3 linked regions of the Caenorhabditis elegans genome follow. The protein of the gene in region 2 interacts with the protein of the main gene of each other region in a pairwise test. Each region holds a gene or a part of one and is shown on either strand. Other genes may lie near its edges.

Region 1 (5,874 bases), 2.1 Mb from region 2:
AGAAGAAAACTAATACAGTAGTCCTTAAAAGTGCATATTTCTTCGGGATGCATAAATATGAAAAAAAAAAAGATTTCAGGAGGGGAATAAAAATGTAATCTAGCAATAATATTACTCTGGAGCTAAATTTGCGATTTTTGAGCCAGGAATACGATCTCCGGTCTCGGCACGACAAATTCTAACAAGTGTGCGCCATTAAGGAGTACTGTAGCTTCAAACTTTCGTTGCTTTGGAATTTGCACCGGTTATTTGCAAAAACTAAAATTAAAATCAAAGAGCATAAATTTTCAGATTTTATGGAAATTAATAGAATTAAATTAACACCACCGAAAGTTTTAAACTACAGTACTCTTTAAAGGCGCACACCACATTCTTGCATTAACGAAAATGTGTCGTGTCGAGACCAGGTACCGTACTTTTGGTTTTAAATTCTGAAAGTTTCGCGTCTGGGTAATAAAACAGTTCAGGCCAAAAGTTAACCGAATTTCAAAGTTTTTTCATCATCCTACTGTACTTATTTAGACGATTTCTAAACTTTCTTGAGGAGTACACTTGACATATTTTGTAAATTTCTTGCAACAAGGATTTCAAACAAAAATTAAAATAAAATAGAAAAATCTAGAAGGGCGCCAAATCATATAAGCCATAGGTAACAACATAAACACAACGTTGGCAAGCAGTGAAAGCGAAAAGTGGTTTCCAGCAATTTAGTCATCCCCTTCCCGGGCGGTTCTCGAATGACAGCAACGAAATATTATGATGGAATGAGAGACTTATACGTATATTACCTTGTCAAAAAGTGTTGGAAATATGAGAGAAAGGATAAAGTAAAAGAAGAAGAAGACAGAAAAAGAGTTTTGATGATTGAGTGGAAAAGGAAAGGTCTTCCGGAAATCTGTGCGTTGACGGTGTGTTGACCACCGAACAAACGATGCCAATCAGTCCGAAGACATATCTTTTCTTCTTTTTCGTCTCTTCAATTCCTGAATTCTTTTTCTCAATTAACGGAAACCGACATAATTGTACATGTACACAGATATGGAATCGAATCCATTCTCACTATTCCGAACACTTTCTAACGAAGAATTTTATTGAGTGTGGCGACGGATCTATAAGATTATGTGACATTGGTATTTGGAATAGGCTAAACATTTTTAGAATACTTTTTATTTGAAGTTCTTAGAAACCAAATCAATTTTGCGAAGGTTTGAATAAATAAAGCTCCAATTTTAATAAAAGAAGTTTGATATTCAAACTAATATTAGCTATTTACTAAAAATGGTGGAAAATTGGTGAATAATTATTTTGATTCAGAAAAGTGTTCATATGATTTTTGAAGTTTGTTGTCTATCCTCCCATCGTGTCTGTAAATGGCATTTAAAGTGGGTTTGTCGATAAAAAAGACAATTCCAATTTGTATCTCAACTTTCATCACTTTGAAAAAGCCGAATCCTCCTTGGGTTTCCTCTTCAAATGTTGCAGATTCTTCTGAATGGCATCATCACTTACGATTTTTTTCGTTCAATTTCGCTTTTTGAACAACCATTTTCGATTAGCGCATGAATTGAATCGAACCCGAGGTTTCCGTTTTTTGGTAAACATAAGGAAATACTAATTCTATTTCATTTTAGGGTACGTATTGCTGTAGATTGTAATTGTTTTAAACTCATGGAATTGGTATTCCAGTTTACATACATTTTCAGAATTTTCTCTTGTTTGATATAATTACTTGGATGAAGGATCGAATGTTCATTTCTACTATAAATATCACTAAATCAGAAAATTGGAAAAATAAAAGTCAAAAACTAAAAGTCTCGAAATTTATTGGAAACGATGGAACAATGAAAACAAAAAAAGGGAGGGCCGTACATAATATCCTATAAGCAGCATCGAGAGAAATTGACGATGTGCCTAGGATCAAATTAAAAAGGAATTTACCAAAGTTAAAGGGTCTACTCTCAACATACTCCTTATTGCTGGTTCGTGGCGGCCTTGATCAATGCTTCAGCAACCTGAAAAATTCCCTTGTTTTGAAACAAAACTTAAAGACATATTCATTTCAGAGAACTACTTTTATGACCCTCAACTTTATGTCCTGGTCTCAGTTTTAGTATCGAAGCACAGAATCATTTTGATAATAAAAATATTACGAAATGCTTAACTTTGCTGAAACCAAACGATATTCGTTTCTTGTATTTTTTTTTGGTTTTTAAAACTTTTTCGAACACTTACTTCAGCGCGAATTTGAGCTTCAGCACGAGCAACCTCGCTTCCTTCTCCGGAGGCTCTTTGGGCAGCATCAAGCTCGGCGCGGGCAGCAGACTCATCAATTTCTTCAACTTTCAGGACCTCCTCAGCAAGAACTTGGCATGATCCATCGATGTTCACGGAGAGGGTTCCCGAAGAGACGAAAAGGCGTTGAACTGTTCCTGAAAAATTCTTTGGTGATAATACAATTTATTTTTGCAAAATAAACCTTCATTTGTGGTGACAGAGACAACTCCTGGTTTCAAAACTCCAATGGTTGGGACGTGATTGGCAAGAACACCAACCATACCGGCCAAAGTTGGCACATCAACCTGCTTGACGACAGCATTGCTGAAGACAGCCTGTAAATTGATTTTCAAATAATGTTTTCAAATAATATTTACTCACGGTGTCTGGGGAGGCGAAAGTGAGACGAAGCTCCTCTGGGTTGGCGTTGGCAGCTGGAGCGGCAGCGGCGTATCCGCGCTTGGCAACAACCGAGAATCTTTGGATAGTACGAGCCAACATCTTACCCTCTGAAATGATAACATTGTTTGATTGATTTTTAGAAGGTCAATATGTGTATTAAGAATTATAAATGAAAAAATCGGAGGAATAGATTGTATTTGGGGAACAAACAATAGTAAAAATCGTAGACATATAGTCGAATACTTTTTTCAATTTTTAATAACGAAAATTAACTGAAAAAACTTCCCAAAACAGTTGAAAACAGAGATTTTTTGTTAAAAAAAGGTGAATAAAAATCGAGATCGCCCGTCGTCCAACGGAGCGTGTTTGCATCCCCTAATGGCTAGTCCGCGGCCATCGGGAAAAACTAGGCCATCTTGGCGAAGGTTAAAAAATGCCTGAAGATTTAATGAAACGTATGTTAAATATGAAACAGCGAATGTAATTGGAGATTTTCAACTAAGAAGCGTAGAATTTTTGATATTTATTGAAATGTAGCTAATTGGAATAATTTTTGAAATTATAGAACTATTACAATAGAGAAAACATATTTTTTAAATAAACTTTATTTGAAGACGTATCTAAACAGCAATAGAGTACACTATTGAAGCTACTGATTGAAAAAATCTTAACCATTAAAGTAGATTGCTCCTTTCTCGAATTGTACGCAGGGAAGAATATATGGAAATTTTTGAAAATTGTATACATGATTTGTAGGTTTCACTTAACTTACTATATTATTCACTACATTGCGTAGCATTTCGATACACTTTGCAAAATACGACTCATTTGAACATTTGAATAAGCCACGTGACTTTTTACGTGTTTCCTTCACCTGAAGCAGAACATGTGTGTTGGTGCGTTTTCTGCTGAATTGACTGAAACTTATCAAATATTTGAAGTTTGTTGCAACTGCGTGTCATTTCATAGTAATAGTAAAGAAATGTGATAATCCGGTTATCAATTGAGTAGAAACATGCGGGAAATGTATGATTTATGGTTCTTCTCAGTTTTCAGTTTTTATAAGTGATTGCAAAATACAGTACATACTGTAGATGTTATTGAAAGTTTGGCTTCTGGACAGAGAGGTCGCATGCTCATCAAGTGGATACCGGGAAACAGTAATAATATATCATCCCTCATTCTGCCCAACGAAAATTTATTTTAAACTACATAATAACCTTTTTGTGCAGTGAGTAAGTAGATCGACAACATTTTGATATCTCTAAAATAAAAAGAAGCTTCAAAATCATGAAACCGTGGAGAAAAAGTTTGCAACTGAAGATAAAAGATCATCATGACTAACTTTTGTGAACTTTCTGTTTAGGCTTGTGTCCGGAACTAAATAAATTCACCTGAAATCACGAATTCGCCATTAGATATTTAACATTCTATTAGAATCCTATTAAAGAAACACACACAGTTGTTTGGTCATTGTAACTAGACACATAGTCAATGATAAAGTTTGTGGTTAGGGTTAACACTCCTAATGCAGGTTATCATGTGAAAATATTACTGTAGCTACTTTTAAAGTTTGTGCATGCAGAGAAGTTAGGGATTGGATTTTTAAGACCTGCCTTTTAAAAACTATGCATCCAAAACAACAGATAATTCCGGTTTGGAGTGAGCAGCCATTCTTCTACAAGTTTCGGAGAGAGAGACGCAACCTTTAGGTAGGTAAAAAATTTTCTCAATACTATTGTAAGCATTCCACTTGTAATAAATTTCACCTAAATTGCTGATTAGGGTGAAAAATTATCAGCCTTTCTGTGGTACTGTAACTGTAAATGTTACGTTTTCAGTAAACTCAAGAGTTGTATTTTATTTCAGGATCTGCCGGAAGTTTTGAGTTTTCTAACTGTAAAAAGCCTACAAATTTCTGTGAATCAAGCTTGTCCCAGCTGATTTCTTTTAGCCATATCATGGTTAGTTTTGTAATTATTGTATTTTAATAACTCAATTCTTGTATATTGTATACAAACTTAAAACATATTAAAAATAAATTCACTCGAGATTCAAAATTATCACAAAAATCAAAATAAATGTACAATTGAACATGAAACAAAATAAATGAGATCCCATTAAAATATTGCAAATCATCGCGAAACAATTGAAATAGATGACCAACCAGCGGAATGAGAAAAATATCAAAAAATGTACAGACAAATATATATATACAATTCCTTTTGTAAGGGACAAGGAAATATAACGTGCTTATAAAAAAACAAATAAATAAATAATGAACTCTAGAATTGGAGCTATACCTTTCGAAAATTTCCAAAATATTATATTTACACTTTCCTAAGAATGTACAAGGAAAATATATCTTATGATGTTGTAGCCATGTAGTCATGTAGACACGTGACTAATGATAAGTGGATATCATTTAGTGATCCTTTTCTTGAATTGACCATACCGATTGTGTTCCGGTGTTGATATTTTGATGAGTTGAAGTCTTTGCATTCTTTGCACAGAGAATAATGTTGAATGTTTATGAAGATCCATTGATGTTGCTTCTCCATAAAAATATACTGGATGATGAATCATTGTTGAGTTTAAAAAGTAGGTCACTTTCAGACGAATGAAATTTCAGAGAGAAGAGCACCAAGAAGTCGGTGGCTGACTGACCGGAGAGGACATGTCGTTGACTTTTCGTTCCGACACTCCGCCTCTTTTCGGAACAAGGTCACGCCCCTATCAGTTTGCAAGAGGTAAGGAATGGAGACGAAGAGAAAATGGAAAAATGGGTTTATGCATAATTTTGAGATGATAGAGAAATCGAGAAACCTGAAGTTTAAACCACACAGAAAGAAAATGAATGAATTTATGAATCAGAGAGAAACACTGTGGCAGATAAAGAATATAAATAAATGGAGAGAAAGAATGTGTAAGAAAAAAGAATGCAGGTTTCAAGGGACAAAACAAGAAATGAAAAACGACAACACAACAACACAAATAATTGTGAAGTTAATCAAGGTTACGGTAGGTAGAAAGGTATGAGCTAAAATCGACATTTTCCAACTGAACTGTAACTCCAGAACAACCTCGAAATCGTTCCACGACTTGCAATACTGAAATTATCAAAAATAGCATTGTGTAGAAAACTAAGTTTTAAACATAAAAGTTCTTGGCTATGTTCAACCCGAAAAAAATAACTTG
Region 2 (10,337 bases):
AAGTGCTTGTCAAGGATGACTTTCTTGATTCCCACAGTTGGCATTTCGCTGAAAATATAATGAATTAACTATGGAAATCTAGAGAAATTAATCAAGAAGACCGAAAAGAAAATAGGATTAATTTGGATTGTCGGCAAATTCGGTGTCCTTAGTACCAACCAAGGTGTACACGGTGACGCCACATTGCGGACAATACTTTTTTTGGAATTTAATATATTATTAATTAATAAATGGAAAAAATAAATAAATTTCTGGAAATCAGAACCTTTAAAGCGAAACTCTCATGTATTTCCATAGAACAGTCATCGAACCGAAATTCTCAAATAAAATCCGCTAATCCGCCTTTTATTGAGAGTCTGTTTGCTGAAGTTATTTTTTAAAAGTTAAACAATAAATTTATTTCCGGGAATGAAATAAGCGCTAAAAAACTGAAATACTTCCGAGCTCTTCCACGAATATCAATCAATAAATTAAAGTTCCAGATCAGTAAATTCTTCTGGTAATCAAAATGATTTTACAATACAAAATACATTTCACAAGCAAATAAAATTGAAGCATAGAGCTAAAAAATACCAGTAAAAATGCGGGTGTAAGAAATTACTCGTTATTTTCGTGTTATGCACTTTAAGGGGCAGGGATAAAATTATCAATGATTTTTGACTCTGTCCAGTGTATGACGAATGTTCGCCATTTGGTCTCGGCTCAATGTGGTTCTCTTTGGACGGATCATGTTTCCACGCGCACGAGTGATGGTTGCGTCTCCACGAGATAGAGGTGTTCCACTGAAAATTAGTTTTTTTTAGTTTGGCAAAATATGAGATGAGAGCTAAATTACGTTCTTTGTCTTATGAAACTTACACAATCATAGTATCCATTCTGTTTATATCTGTTGGAGTTATTCTACCTTCCTCTTGAACAGGACCAGTAGCTGCCATGGCTTTGAAAACTGCCATTGACGATTTAACGACATGAGAGAGGTTAAAGTCAATCCTCTTCTTTCTGGAACACTCGCCGACTAGCTCCTTGATGAGCTCTCCCATTGGATTATTTTTGAGATATTCCATATACTCATTCCAAGATCGGTCACTGGATGCAATGAGAATATTCAGTTGCTCAATATGTTTAACTGCCATCGAGGTATCACGCAGAATATTGTCGATCGAAACTTGAACGCCGCTTCGCACTACAACTGCTTCATCCTCTTGTGGCATTCTGGCTTCCAATGTTCCAGGCATGATAGGATCAATTTTTCGTTCTCTCATCATTTGTAAAATCTTGTTGATCATACTGGTCAAGTGCATATGTGGTCGAGAAAGACGACGGGCAGCATCCAAGACGACGTCTCCTTGCTGAAGGATAACCCGCTCCAAATAGTTATCAACTATCAAAATGTGTGAATCGCTGATGTCCATTTTAAGTTCTGTGAGTGCACAAACGTAGAAAGCATTGAATGAGTCGACTATATCCGAGGCTCTCAGTTGAGCTCTTCTCTTTTCAAGTTCATCACACCATTTCGACGAGAGCTTCGACACAAGTTCGGTTATACCGGTGTTCATTTGAAGTGATTCAGTCATTGCCAGAATCAATCCGCACAACAGATTAGACAGCTCAACTCTGTAGATTAATCGCATTGCCAGTCGATTGAGAGATCTTGCCATTCCGTATCCGGACTCTGTGTTACCGATTTGGATGATACATCTGAGGACCGAAGAGATGATGGCTTTGACTGTGTCGGGGGACGCATTAAGTGGCTCAAGGCCGTGCTCAGTTTCGACTCCTCCCATCAACTGAAAAGATAAATTTGGATATATACATATACATGGCATGACTAAATGAAACAAAGAGAGCCAGATATATTTCGGAACTCCCCTTGATTACTATGACATATGAAAAATATAACTTACAATGAAAAGCATTTGCGTACAAGCGTCCATAGTTCCACTGACATCTCGTCCAGCATTGAATTCTTCAATCACCAAATCTAATTGAGCAGCAGATGCACGAAACACCAAATCGGCACGTCGATCAACAAGATGACGTTGTTCAGGTTGATTAAGAACATAAGTGACCTGGAACATAGCATCTTGAGCAACATCTGCAAGACTGCTCGAAATATTGTTGATGCTTCTTTGGATTTGATCAGAAGTGTCTATGGAGGAAATCGACGATGAAGAATTGGTCCGCTTCATTTGGAAGGTATTGTTTGACCAGCCATTGACAGGTTGTGGTGGAGTGATGACTTGAGTGCCATCAAGACGGCCCATGGCTGACGAAAAGACGTCGTCACGAAGTGCATAGCGAGATGAAGTTTTTGGAGGCATTGTGTCTTGTCGTATAGTGAAGGTGTCGCTTTGAACTTCTTCTGGTTCAGGTTCACGAGTACGAGATCGAGAAGCAGGACGACGAACAACCGAACCCTGAAAAACATGTAATTTTTCGTTTTCTAAAAACTGAACGAAACTTCGCGTGGGTATCGAATAGGGAATCACTACTAACTCCAAATATTTGAGACAAAAAAAAATATTATTTACTTCCAACTCGTAAGACTGTATGGCCGATTCAAGTGATCTTTCAGGGAACCTGACTCATTACGAGAAATATTTTAAACAACTAACCTGTTGTTGTGGCACTAAAATTTTGGGTCCTCCAGTTGGCGGCGAGGTGACAACACCAGATCCCGGTTTCACTCCTGTTCGTTTTATTCTTTCCTCAACCAACGACTTGTCCTTATCTGCCATTCTTCCTGCTGCTTTCCACATTTGATCACCTTCAAATTTGAAACAAGCCACGAGAACATTGATAGCAGCATTTCGGACGTTGACATCCTTGTCACCAACAAATGGAGCAACTGTTTTTTCGACTGATAACGATTTCAGCGGACTTATTCCAGCATTTGTAATGTAGTATTCAATGACTAGCAGACACTCGGAACGTTGGCGAGCGTTTTTCGACTTCAGCGCATCTGAAAATAAAAATTACTAGAACATTATTGATCTTCTTCTCTCATACCAAGTAGCATGGGTGTCATCTTGAGTGGACCGACAACATCTGAAAGTACATTGACAATATCCCTGACAGAAGTTCTCATATTGTCTTTGGCTTCTCCTGTCTTCAATAACAAGTATGGAACAAATGCAGACACCTCTTCTTGTGACATTGGAGTTTCTGTATCCCGAATTAGCTCCACAATAACTTTGCACAATTCCAAAACTTTGATAAGTGCGGCCGGGTTGGTCTCGAAAAATCGCAAAGTGCACCATTTTAATAGAAGATCGCTGTTGGATAGAAGAGATCGAGGAGATGTATCGGCAAGGCGAACCAGAGAATCAAGAGCCGCAAGATGCTGCTTGAAATCTTTGTGGAAAAGTTGACTCATTAGAGACACTTTCGCTTGGTTTCCGAGCAGGGTTTGAAGTTGCGAGATATGTTCATCAGTCGGAGCTTGGAAATTCCATTTGACTAACTGCAAATTAATTAGAATGTATGATTATTAACTCATTTAAAGCAATTACTTTTAATTGCTTCTCTTCCTTGATTCGTTGCTTTTTATCCTCGTTGTCACTGAGCAAAAGTTCGGCTTTTGGTGCAACAACGGGAGGCTCGTTTTCTTCGTTCTCCTTCACGGGAACTTTCTTCTTCTTATCGCCTGGTGGTGGTTTCAGGGGCTGAAAAAAAAATAATAAAAAATTGTAAGTTTTCAGTTTTAAACGACCACACAATCGATACAAATTACTATATGGAAATAAGAACACAATTTTAATCACCTCATCCTCTTCCTCGACCACTTCCTCATCTTCCGGTTGTTTCTTCGGTGGAGCTGTTTTTTTCGGTGGTGCAGCAGCTGGCGGAGCCTAAATTTGACAACACATTCACAATAAAATTACAAATAAGCAGTACAAAAATCATCAGTGAATACTTCTAAATACTATCATTACTTATATATAAAAAAATAATTCCGTTTGTTCCATAGTTTGTAGTCTATGTAGTCTTTGTAGTCTGTGACGTCACACCCAAAGTCACTGAGAATTGTGGGCGGGGTCTGTCATCCTTCGCGGTGAGACTCATCGTGGCGAGACCCATCGTGGTGAGACCCATCGTGGCGAGACCCACCGTGGTGAGACCCGTCGTGGTGAGACCCATCGTGGTAATACCCACCGTGGTGAGACCCGTCGTGGTAAGACCCAAAATTTTGGCGGGAAATTTAAATTTTCTGTGAAAAATAATTTGGCGGGAAATTTAAATTTTCTGTGAAAAATATTTTGGCGGGAATTTTAAATGTTCTGTGAAAAATATTTTGGCGGGAAATTTAAATTTTCTGAGAAAAATATTTCGGCGAGAAATTTAAGTTTTCTGTGAAAAATATTTTTGCGGGAAATTTAAATTTTCTGAAAATTCTAAAATTCTGGAAATCTAGAATCTTCTGGAAATTTCGAAAAAATTCTCGAATGTTCCAGAACTTTCTAGAAAAATCGAGAAAATTCTGGAATGTTCCAGAACTTTGTAGAAAAATCGAGAAAATTCTGGAATGTTCCAGAACTTTCTAGAAAAATTGGGAAAAGTCTGGAATGTTCCAGAACTTTCTAGAAAAATTGGGAAAAGTCTGGAATGTTCCAGAACTTTCTAGAAAAATTGAGAAATTTCTGTAATGTTCCAGAACTTTCTAGAAAAATTGGGAAAAGTCTGGAATGTTCCAGAACTTTCTAGAAAAATTGGGAAAAGTCTGGAATGTTCCAGAACTTTCTAGAAAAATTGAGAAATTTCTGTAATGTTCCAGAACTTTCTAGAAAAATTGGGAAATTTTTGGAATGTTCCAGAACTTTCTAGAAAAATCGAGAAATTTCTGTAATGTTCCAGAACTTTCTAGAAAAATCGAGAAAATTCTGGAATGTTCCGAAAAATTGAGCTTAGAGCTTTAGAAGAGGTAGTTATTCGGGAGTTTATGGGGGATCAAGTCAAGGTACTGTAGTGTTACTATAGGGGTACTGTAGGTATACGGTAGGGTTACTGTAGTTTTGGAAAAATTGGCATTTCGTCCTTTGAAGAGGTATTGGGTTAGGAGTCGGTGGAGGATAATGTCAAGGTACTGTAGTGGTATTGTAAGGTTACTGTCTTGGTCAAAAAATAACAGAAAGTTTTCATACTGTCTGTGAATTTTTGAAACATGCATGTCGTAGAAAAATACATACATGTAACAGTGCCAGTAAACCGCGTTTTAAGTGTTTCAAGTTTTTTTCATGATGAGAAATTTTTTGAGTGATTGAAGGTATGTGTGTCAAATACTTTTAATGGTGCCAGGCGTTGCCCGCGCCGTAGGCGCGGTCAGCGGCTGGTTAATAATAATAAAATAACTCACATCTGCTTTGTGAATCGATTTGACCATTTCAGCAATCTCTGCGGGCCCAGCTTCATCCAACGCCTTCTGATGAAACTCCTTGATTTTGCTCATTTTCAGATTATCCGATGCAATATCGGCGAGAAGTTGCAGAGAAGGTTTTTCTCCAATGGCTCTCATCATTGCTCCCATTGCAGCGTATGATGCTTCACGAACTTCCGAATCCGAATCACCAGAATGTTTTATCAACGACGGGATCAGCGTCTTCAAAGTCTTCTTCGGCATGGTCTGTGAATTCAGTTTCATGAAGCATCGTTGAAGGAAAAGATCCGTTTGAGTCTTAATGCTTGGATTTGGTTTTCCGAGCGCTGCGAGTACGATTTCTCCAACTGCTTCGAGATTTGTGGTTGCAACAACTGCATCAATGCAAGCAACCAGCGGATCACGTAGAGTTGGTTTCTTCTCTTTGAACTTCTCAAAAATGATTGGAGTCACAGACACAGCAAACGGCTGGAACTTCGTACGGAGACCATTAGCAATACCAGTTATACAATTGGCCGCTAGTGCAGCCACATTGATATTTGCATCTTTCTCGAGGACCTTAATATTTGAATTTAAAATAATTTTTCAGGACAAAATACACATACCTTCTGCAATCTCTCAACGAGTGCGCCATAGTTTGCCTTTGGGTCGAGCTTCGGATTCGCTGTGATCAATTGAAGCAAACCTTCAAGCGCTTCTTTTCGTTCCTGCCATTTCTTGCTTTCGATGTTGGTATCAAAACCGTCGGGCATTTTGGAAAGTACGTCGAAAGCGTCAAGAAAATCCCAAGGATCGGCTTCCGCAACTGGAGCTCCAGATGAAACAACAGCAGTTGCTGTTCCGCCGGATGGATCTCCCGAAGCAGCACTTGCCGAAGGTGTCGAAGAAGTGGGAGCGACTGGTGGAGCATTTTTAGCTTGTTCTTCTGCGAAGCTAGCGGTTGATTTTTCAGCATATTCCCCAATCTTTTTCATTTTCCCTTCATCGGAAGAAGCATCGCCGAGGAGATTTTTAACGTTTTTGTCTCCAATGATGCGCTGAACAGCTCCTAAACCTTGAAGAGATGCCTCTCTGACATCTTGATCTGCATCGCCAGTCAATTTTCCAAACACAGGCACAACAGCTTTGATGAATCCTTTTGGTTGTTTTGCTGGAACCACCAAATCTAACTGCCGAGCCACAAAAAGTGCAGTCTGTTGCTTGATCTGAGGATTTGGTTTGGCCAGCGCCGCCAAAATGTCTTCCTGACCAGTTTCCAAAGATTGCATTGTACGGCCGACTTCATTGGAACAGTCTACAAGAGGTTCTCGGAGCATCGGCTTCTTTTCTTTCATTTTTTCGAAAATGACGGGAAGAAGTGGTCCTGCGAAAGAAGAGAATTTTGCACGTAATCCCGTTGCGAATTTTCCGATGCATTTGGCTGCAAGCGCTTGGCAATTGATGTTTGCATCTTTTGCTAGAACCTGTAAAATGAGATTGCAGAAATGACCGAAAAATATGAAAACCAACCATCTGCAGATGACCAATAAGTTCGGCATATGAAGCTTTTGTTGAAAGTCGCTCATTGTCCGTGAGTACTTTGAGAAGTGCTTCCAATGCCTCTTTTCGTTCCTGCCATTTTTTGGATTCTCGCAGCTCATCGAAGTTCGGTGGAAGTTTGGGAAGGATATCCACCTCGTCCAGATAATCCCAATTGGACATTATCTGAAAAATGACAGTTTACTACGTGCCTTGCAATAAACAAAGAAAGCGAACGAAAATAAGTTTTGAAGAGAAAGGAGATTTCAACAATAGATTTCCGGTGGAGAACGTAGAGGGAAAAAATCAATATTTTCGAACTGCGAGGGGTAATTGGGGTCACATGGAACTTTTTCGCCGCAAGCCCATTTTCGACCGATTTCGCAACCCGTCAAAAAGAAGCGCAAACAGAGAAACAGAGGCGGACGGGCCGGCTCAGTTGCACTACGCGGCAAAAAAAAAGAAAGGACAAAAAATCAATGAATTCTTTATACAACTTTTTGTTCGAGCCAAGTGAATACTAAAACACTACGCAGATAATAAATTTGATTAATTAGATAATGGAAGTGCTTCACAAAGAAACAAAATCTCAAAAAAAGGACGAAACATCTCGAACAAACGCTTAACACTGTGCGACAAACACTGAAAAGCTTAACTTGCGACGACAAATTATTTAAACAATTTAATGATGAGCTCACATGGGAACAACTGATATTCATTGAAAAAGTGCGAAAGCGAGAAGGTTTCCGTTGCGCTTTTCAAAACTATTTTCTACCGCGCGTTCGAATAAAAATGTCGTCAAGTGGCATGCTTGATACGCAACGCGCGCGTAAAACGACGGGGCTGTCAACTGCGTACTGAACAAGAAAGGAAACATTTTCTAAAAAGCTCTGTTAAATAGCGAAATTTGGTCTTAAAAATAATTAAAGCGCAACGAAGAAATGTTTATTTCAAAAATACGAATGCAAAATGAACAAGAAGTGTTTTGGAAGGGAGAATTCGCGCGCTTAAGCCATCGATCAAGGTCAATTTCAGATATGGAGACCGGGAGATGAAAATTTTTGATTTGTAACAAGACAAAAATGAGCCTACGCCTAAAAAACGCGTTTGAAACGCGAGAAAAACAGGAAATTTGGCGCCAAAAATGCTGTGCGGTCTCGACACGACAAATTTTTGATAAATGAAAAAGGTGCGCGTCTTTAAAGAGTACTGTTGTTGCAAACTTTGGTTACTGCAGATTTTCTATCGATTTCTCAAATACCGTATATTTCCTATTAGCGCTGCATCTTCAATAGTACTACAGTCTCTAATAATGTGTGTTTTTGTATATTTTTGATGGTTTCTTGTTAATTTACAAACATCATATTTATTTTCTGATAATACTGCAGTCTCTAATAGTGCTCGAAAGTTAGTGTTGTATGCAGCACGCGTAAAAAAAAGGGCCCGAAAGTTAGTGTTGCATGCAGCACGCGTTTATTAAACCTTTTTTTTTTGAATAAAAAAATCTAAATTTTAACAATTCGTGAGAAGAAGCATGAAAAACCCCTATGGTACTTTTGCTTATGTTAATTCGTGTTGTCTCTCGACGTGGATCTCACAAAAAAAACGTCCATCGTACTTCTTGGAGGCTCTTATCCTACCAACGGTTCCTGAAAGCTGGTGGCTTCTGGCGCAATATCATATAATTCACGGTGAACTCGAAGATAATATTTTGACTCTAAATAAAAATTTTCACATATTTTGTCTCATCGAAAATTCGTCTATAACACAATAACATACATATAAACATACGGTATAAAAGAAAACAATGTATCATGAAACAGTGTCAGTTGAGTCAGCGAAAAAGTCGTTCTTCTGACGATGTCGAAGAACATTCCATTTTTTGTACAAGTACGTTTTTCTTTTATTTCAAAACTAGACAACATGTTGAAAAATCATTCACAGTTTTCTTTAAAATTTCCAACGTAGGACATGACAATTGTTGTAGTATTTGATCCCAGTTACTTCGAGTTTCTTACGATTTTTTTCAAATAAAATTTCAGAGTCTTCCAATATTATTTCTTGGAATATGCTCAACTCATCTCGTGGCAAAATCGTTAATGGTTTTTTCCCTATTATTATCTCTAGCAATAATGCATAATTTCAGTTAAAACATCAACTTCCATCGGTTTCAGAAAATGCAACTAATACTCATTTTGGATTGACATGTGTAACCACTGCATTTTTATGTATTCTTACTTCTTTGATTATCGTAGATATTCTGTTCAAAACACATTTTACCTTCCGATATGTGGTATTTATGAATGTAAGTTTCAAGTTGGTTCGAGTATCACAGGAAAAGTTTTGGAAAATAACTGGTATTTCCGAAAATTTTACTGTTTGAGAAATTTCGACCAGTGGGAAAGGAACATCTTGAATGTTAAAAACAAGCAATTGAAACCCAATAAAAGCTTTTATAAAACTCGTAGAAAAAATACAAATTTTTGGTCGACTACCAATTTTATTATAGGTGAAACCTATTTTCCACCATTTTTGACTGTAGATAAAAAACGGGAAAAACTTTTCTCAAATTATATTTAGTATGATATTTTAACATTTCTCCACTATAAGAGCAATTTTTAAAAACTCCTCCTTAAGGCGCGCACAATTTTTTTAGGATGGGTCCCGCGAGAAAACAGTTTTTGGTAGTGCATTCTGACTTTAGCGGTGCTCGCATTGATTGTGTTTTTTTAAATGAAAAATATTTTTACGAAAAGAAATAATGCTTGCAAAAAAATTTCAGATAGCAGTTGTTGCGTGCGGTTTGTTTGTTACCGGATATCTACTGGGGCACATTGTTGAGATATGGTTTGCAAAAATGTCAACAATTTATTCATGTAAGTTTCTAATTATTTTGTTAGAGGGCAGCTATCACATTTCTGGCAATTTTGAACGAAAGTTACTCGAAAGGTTTTTCATAACAATCACTAGCTGTGTATGACTGTGTGAATTGTATTTTGACAGAACATTCTGCAGCTAATTTCAGGTCGTCAATTAGGTATACAAACTTACTTAATTACCTCGAATAGTACTGGTGAAGAAGTTAGGAAACTCGAAAGTGGTGAGATTGTCTTCCTTATTCCCATCATTTTTATATCAAAGCTATATTTTTGATAATCTTTAATCTTTTCAGCAGGATGCGAAACTGCTATTTCATCGGAGTTTAAAAATGTATTCTTCGACCTACTAATTCAAGCTGTCTTCATTCCACTTCATATTTTATTGACTGCATTTTCATGGACATTCTCTGGATTGTACAGGCCACGTTGGCATGAAGATTTCGAATAAGGTCTTCACGTATTCCAATTTATTTAAATACATTTTGAAATTAAATAAATAGCGTTTTAAATCATTACTCCGTTTTCAACACAAGATGAATGGTTGCAAGCAATCGGCCAGCAAAGTT
Region 3 (5,675 bases), on a different chromosome or scaffold from region 2:
TTTACGATGATCACAATGCACATCTAGGGAGCACTCGCCTTGCGATCGGTGAGAGTGATGACGATGACCAGAAGATGAGGATGACAAAGAGGATGAGCTCACAACCGTTCTCGTATAAACTCCTGATGCTGCGCCACAGTATCCATTGATGCAATACATTCCTGGACGACAGTCGTTGTTCATTCGGCAGCGAAGCGATTGAGTTTGGTAGCAAGAATTGGCTGGGATGCATTGACGGGAGTTTGAGTAGACGTGGCCTGGCAAGCAGGTACAAGATGGACGGGTGCAGTCAACTCTGAAATTATGTTTATTTTGTTTGTATCGTTCTGTTAATTTTTATTTTATAAGTTTTCATGCAATTGGGATGTCGCCTGAACATACATTGATACTAGGAACTTCGTAAGTAGGGCTAAATTAGGTACTTGTGTATTATACCCCTGCCATTTTGAAAATTATTCAAATTTCCATTTATTTATTTGTTTAAATAGAACGTGATACCCATTTTCCTCGTTAGGTGTTTTGTGTATGGTGTTTTCCTAAACCTAAAACTCCACACGTTTTTATTTTATAAATAGAAAAGTTAATTTTTAAAATGGCGGGGATATAATACACAAGTACCCTAAATTCGATGCTTAGAACAGAAATTTATCAGAGTGAATGTGCAATATGATAAATGTATCACTAATGTGCTAATAATCATGGAAAAATTATCATTATTTTATGGAAGACTGATTGTTTAAAGTTGATATATAGAGTCATCCAAGTTTACCGGTAATGAAGTATCCATATAAGAATTTCGAAGAGGACACCATGCTTTTCACAAAATGTTGTAGACTGTTTAATTTTAAAAATGTTTTTGTTCTAAGACTTCACCTGCATTGTGGGTTTGGAGATTCACATGTTGGTGGGCACATTTGAGTACACGGAGAGTATTGCTCATTGATTCCACAACTCACTTGAGTTGTTGTTTGATGGTATTGAGAATCAACCACCAGTACTACCTGTAAATATTATTGTCAAACTTTTAGAAACCTGGAAACCTGGTGTATTAACTTACCGACAACAAAGCTATTGGAAATGCAAACATCATATTTCAACTGATGAATCAGATTTTGCAGGCACATGTTAGTTTATATACCAATATCCTCATCTGGTCAGTGTAATTTTTTCATATTCAGTCACATTTTGCCATTTCATATATTTCATACCAAACCTTCGCATCATTAATCTTATGACACATGCATTGGCTTTTACAAAGACAGATTGTCTTCAAAGTAAAAAATCTCGAGACGCTTGGCCTTAAGCTCCCCACAGACTTTTTGAAGAAGATTTATGTAGCTTTCATGATTGGAGAATTCGAATTTAAAAAGGGATTGGCAATGTTTTATTGGAATATTGAATAATTCATGTAGTTTTATAATACAAGTTTAGTACAAATGCTTAAGAGCTTCTCTTTTGTCTGAGCACGTAGCTGGTGCAGTATCCAGATGAGCAGTATCTATTAGATCCGCAGTCCGAGTTGTATGTGCATCTGGAGTTGGATGATCCATAGGTGTTTCCAGAGCCGTAAGTGTTGTATCCGGATGAGCCACTTCCGTACATAGAGTTTGATCCGGTGGATTGACACATGTTGTTAACACATCTTTGATTGAGTCCACAAGTGTTATCATAAGTACAGTAATCTGGAAACAAAACAATGAATGTAAGATGTCAAGTTTACGGAATTACTAGACGCGATGTGGATAACGCAAAGGCCGTTAACACAACGTTCGTCGTTAGCGCAGGAAAGATTGTTAAGGCATCGTTCTGGAAAAGATGTGTGCATTAGACAATGGAATTGTTATATTTGTGAAATTGGGATATGTATTGTGATAATGTTTCTTACTTCCTGTAGATGAAGAGTACATAGCATTGTTGTAAGAGGTTCCGTATTGGGCGACACAAACTCCGTTGGAGCACATTTGTCCAGAGTAGCAGTCGGTAGAGTAACGGCAAGTGGATCCAGCTTAAAAAAATCCAAAATTATAGACTTGCTCTACTCTCAGGTAGACACGGTACACTTACAGTTAGAGTACTGAGAATTGGAGTTGTACATGTTGTTGGAATAGCTGCTTTGGCATCTGTTGTTCATGCATGTTTCTCCAGATCGGCAAGAGTACGACGTGGTGCAGTATGTTCCGGATCCAGTGGTACCCATTTGGTTGCCATACTGACTGTTCATGTCATATTGGTTGTTGTTGTTATAGGTGTTGGAGTAAAGTCCTCCGTTATATCCGAGAGAGCTCATGCATTGTCCATTAGAGCAAGTTTGGCCAGACGAACATTCGTAAGAGGAAGAGCAACTTCTGTCTGAAAAGTTTTTTATTTAACACTCTCTATTATATTACTCTCTATTATCTATTCTATTATCTATTATCTAACAACTCTATTATATTACTTACAAGAGTTGCTATAGCTTGGAGTTGATGAATAGTATGTGGCAGCAGAAGCAAGGCCAAAAAGCTGAAATTGTTTTAATTAAAAGGTTTTTATTGGATGGAAAACTCACTGCAAGAAGAATGGTAAACTGCATTTTAGACTTGGTGTGGTTTATCCCAGTCACCTCTGACCTTTTTATACTTGTCCTTTTTTCTAGGCGGTTGTTTGTCTTGGACTCGATAAACATGTGCCTGTGGCTCAGCGTCGTCCAAGTAAACACATGTTTTGCCAGAAAAATCTCCCAGTTTACAAAAAATGTCTGCCAAAGGGTACAGAGTCAATAAACGTTGATAAGTAGTCGTTGATAAGTTCACTTAAATTATTGACTTTTTCGTGTTGTTTGGCCCGAGTCACAAATACCGCTATGTTTACATTTCGCTTACACTGCGGACTATAGTTTTTTTTGTTTGAGTTAATGTTACTTATTATCACGAGAAACTAAATTAATAGATCGAGCAGATTCCGAGAATAGATTCTATCCGAAAGATTAATAAAGTTGTTCTATTTCGATCACATGCTTTTAGAATGTAACATCTGGAGTCACGGAATCTTCCGATATTGCTTTATAAATTCAGTTATTGTTATTTTACTCGGAAAGAATGATTCATTGTTCACACTCAGAAACCACAGATTGCAGTGACAAACAACTCCGAGAGATGTTTGTCAGGTAAGCGAAAGATTGGCAAAAACCGTTTACATTGTGAGCAAACTTTTTTTCGGCTCGATTAAAAAAAATGCAAGTACAGCCACCAAACGCGAATTTTTTTTTGGTGGAATCTACATGGAATGGAGTTTAGATAAATAAAATGAATCGATTTTAATTATTAGGTCTCCAAATAAGTTCCGGGTCAAAAATCATAACTTCTTTCGCCTTTTATCGATTTTCTTGGAACTATGGGAATTTATGTTATCAACTATGATCTTTCATTTTGATATGGTCACAAAAATTTTTGACCACTAGGAATTTTTTCAAGCATTTTCCTGATCTCGCTTCTTTGCAGCTTTGAATTGAGGTTTATGTGCGGACTTCGCTTTGTTTAAAATACATTGTAAGAAAACAACAAAAGTTTGGAAAAAAATCAGTCCAAAAATTTTTTTTTGGTCGGTGGTCAAAAATTTTTTTATTTTTTTCAAAAAATTTTTTTTCGAAAATTCTTGATTTTTCATACAAAAATGATGTAGTCATGTGTGAACTATTTTTACAAATACAAAACATTTTAACTAAGTTCGTCACACTCAAATGATAATAGAAAACATAATTTTTTCGAAGAATATTTTTGAGTTTTTTGAGTATTTCTCGAGATCCAATTTTCAAACTCAAATGTTTTGTATGTTTAAAAATAGTTTACACATGGTTACATCATTTTTATACTAAAAATCAAAAACTTTCGAAAGAAATTTTTTTTGAAGTTTTTTTGACGGCCGACCAAAAAGAATTTTTTTGGACGGATTTTTTTCCAAACTTTTGTTGATTTCCTACGATGTATTCTAAACATAGTAAAATCCGCACACAAACCTTAGTTCAAAGCTGCAAAGAAGCGAGATCAGAAAAATGCCTGAAAAAAATGGCTTCGAGTTAGGGCACTCCGGGTGGTCAAAAAATTTTGTGACTATTTCAAAATGAAAGGTCATAGTTGATAACATGAATTCCCAAAGTTTCAAAAAATCTATAAAAGGCAAAAAAAGTTATGATTTTTGACCCGGAACTTATTTGGAGACCTAATACTTTCACAAAAAATTCACGAAAAACCTTTTCTGCATACCTTTATGTCCGGCACTGTAATTAATTTTTGAAAATATTTGTTGACGTGCAACTGTTCATGAACTAGGATTGATAACATGAACTGTTGGTGAATTTACATAAAATCATTATATGAAAGAAAGGAGAAAGTGTGATTTTCATTTAAGAAAAAGCTTGCAAAACTAATGAGACCTGCATACTGAATAATATATAAATCTGAGAATTTTCTTCCGAGATGGCAAACTTTTGGGTGACTAGGGTTCTATGGAAACGAAGTATTCAAAATTTCACAGGATCCAGTAGGCATAGTGGGGTGTATCATAGGGGCAAGGATCAATAGTGACAACCTTTTCTCAACTAGTTTTTTGTATGCATACATGTATATATTTATTTTGCAACTGATTTCGGCCATAATTCACTGAAATAAATTTGTAAATATGCCAAAATATTGCTAATGTGCGGTGAAATTAATTTTATGAATGTGAAAGGCATTTTGTCACTGGTTAGTGAACATGATTTTTTTTTTGATTTTTTCATAACTTTGTGGCTTTCTCATCTCTCTATTTCATATATTTTGATATGAAATAGAGAGATGAGTAAGCGCGCAGAAAAGTTATAAAGGGGTGGTACAGGGGACCAAGTTTACCCTTAAATCGGAAAATTATGAGAAACACCAGACTTTTGGTGATATTCTCAAAAAAAAATCGATTTAGGATTATTCCCTCCTGTATAAATGCAATTTCAAATTTAAAAAATTTACTTTGTGAAAATTGTATTTTAGTACACTTGCTGTACGAATATACTTATAAAATATTGACTACGGTGTAGATGTTATTCTTATTTTTATACTCCCCATGCATCTATGTACATATGCCAACTTATTAGAGCGTACTCTAAAAGTTTCTAATTTAAATTAATTTTTATTGCATTCAGAATGTCTTCCTTGAATGTTTCTCAAAACACAGCCAAATTTTATCAAAAATTATTAGAAATTTTTATATTTATTTTTTTCATCAATACTTCATTTTACAAACTCCAAAATAAATCTATCAAAAATTTGTCGATATCAAAAACGAGCCGCTAAACATAAGGATAACAATTTAGTTCTCGAGAGCAGCAAGAGCCTCTTGTTCTTTGACGGTCTTCTTGGTGGACTTGGAAACGTAATCAGCAGGAACCTACAATACGATATAATGACTAATAAAAATAATGCATGACAACTTACAAGATATCCGAAGATGTAGCGACGTCCAATCATTTCTCCAACGAAGAACCAGAAGACAACCTCAAGAGTGACGGCAGTGTAGACAAGTCCTTCCTGAAAAAATAAACGTTCCGGTTAATAAATTTCATCGTTTTGAAGTTTTTGATAACCAAATATGAATAAAAATTTGCATTAGTAATATCAAGTGAATTCGTTGTGTTTATTTATATATAGAGCAACACTTTAATGTTT

What was found.
Region 1: the proteins of zyg-9 (region 2) and F58F12.1 interact in a two-hybrid assay, tested with the Caenorhabditis elegans proteins (one large-scale study listed by BioGRID).
Region 3: the proteins of zyg-9 (region 2) and C53B7.3 interact in a two-hybrid assay, tested with the Caenorhabditis elegans proteins (one large-scale study listed by BioGRID).

Annotation. Positions count from the first base shown.
Region 1 is NC_003280.10:6,380,554-6,386,427, reverse strand, and holds F58F12.1 (ATP synthase subunit delta, mitochondrial), read right to left. Parts: upstream 2,784-5,874; 5' UTR 2,776-2,783; coding exon 2,656-2,775; intron 2,610-2,655; coding exon 2,477-2,609; intron 2,430-2,476; coding exon 2,233-2,429; intron 2,013-2,232; coding exon 1,971-2,012; 3' UTR 1,736-1,970; downstream 1-1,735. UniProt on the Caenorhabditis elegans protein: Mitochondrial membrane ATP synthase (F(1)F(0) ATP synthase or Complex V) produces ATP from ADP in the presence of a proton gradient across the membrane which is generated by electron transport complexes of the respiratory chain.
Region 2 is NC_003280.10:8,454,559-8,464,895, reverse strand, and holds zyg-9 (Zygote defective protein 9), read right to left. Parts: upstream 7,079-10,337; 5' UTR 7,076-7,078; coding exon 6,884-7,075; intron 6,838-6,883; coding exon 5,980-6,837; intron 5,933-5,979; coding exon 5,354-5,932; intron 3,852-5,353; coding exon 3,765-3,851; intron 3,666-3,764; coding exon 3,513-3,665; intron 3,464-3,512; coding exon 3,010-3,463; intron 2,963-3,009; coding exon 2,616-2,962; intron 2,418-2,615; coding exon 1,905-2,417; intron 1,788-1,904; coding exon 859-1,787; intron 783-858; coding exon 647-782; 3' UTR 384-646; downstream 1-383. Other genes in the region: fars-3 (Phenylalanine--tRNA ligase beta subunit), read right to left, coding at 1-44; F22B5.6 (Serpentine Receptor, class J), read left to right, coding at 8,753-8,782, 8,935-8,994, 9,039-9,197, 9,675-9,768, 9,918-9,992, 10,065-10,219; F22B5.5 (DUF1248 domain-containing protein), read left to right, coding at 10,305-10,337. UniProt on the Caenorhabditis elegans protein: Plays a major role in organizing microtubules and spindle poles during mitosis and meiosis in one-cell stage embryos. Required for default nucleus positioning in oocytes.
Region 3 is NC_003284.9:6,841,666-6,847,340, reverse strand, and holds C53B7.3 (DUF7107 domain-containing protein), read right to left. Parts: upstream 2,587-5,675; 5' UTR 2,573-2,586; coding exon 2,549-2,572; exon of another isoform or gene 2,503-2,548; coding exon 2,442-2,502; intron 2,350-2,441; coding exon 2,065-2,349; intron 2,006-2,064; coding exon 1,886-2,005; coding exon of another isoform or gene 1,807-1,885; coding exon 1,729-1,806; exon of another isoform or gene 1,683-1,728; coding exon 1,441-1,682; 3' UTR 1,366-1,440; downstream 1-1,365. Other genes in the region: C53B7.2 (TIL domain-containing protein), read right to left, coding at 1-295, 874-1,001, 1,058-1,090; asg-2 (putative ATP synthase subunit g 2, mitochondrial), read right to left, coding at 5,320-5,397, 5,445-5,537.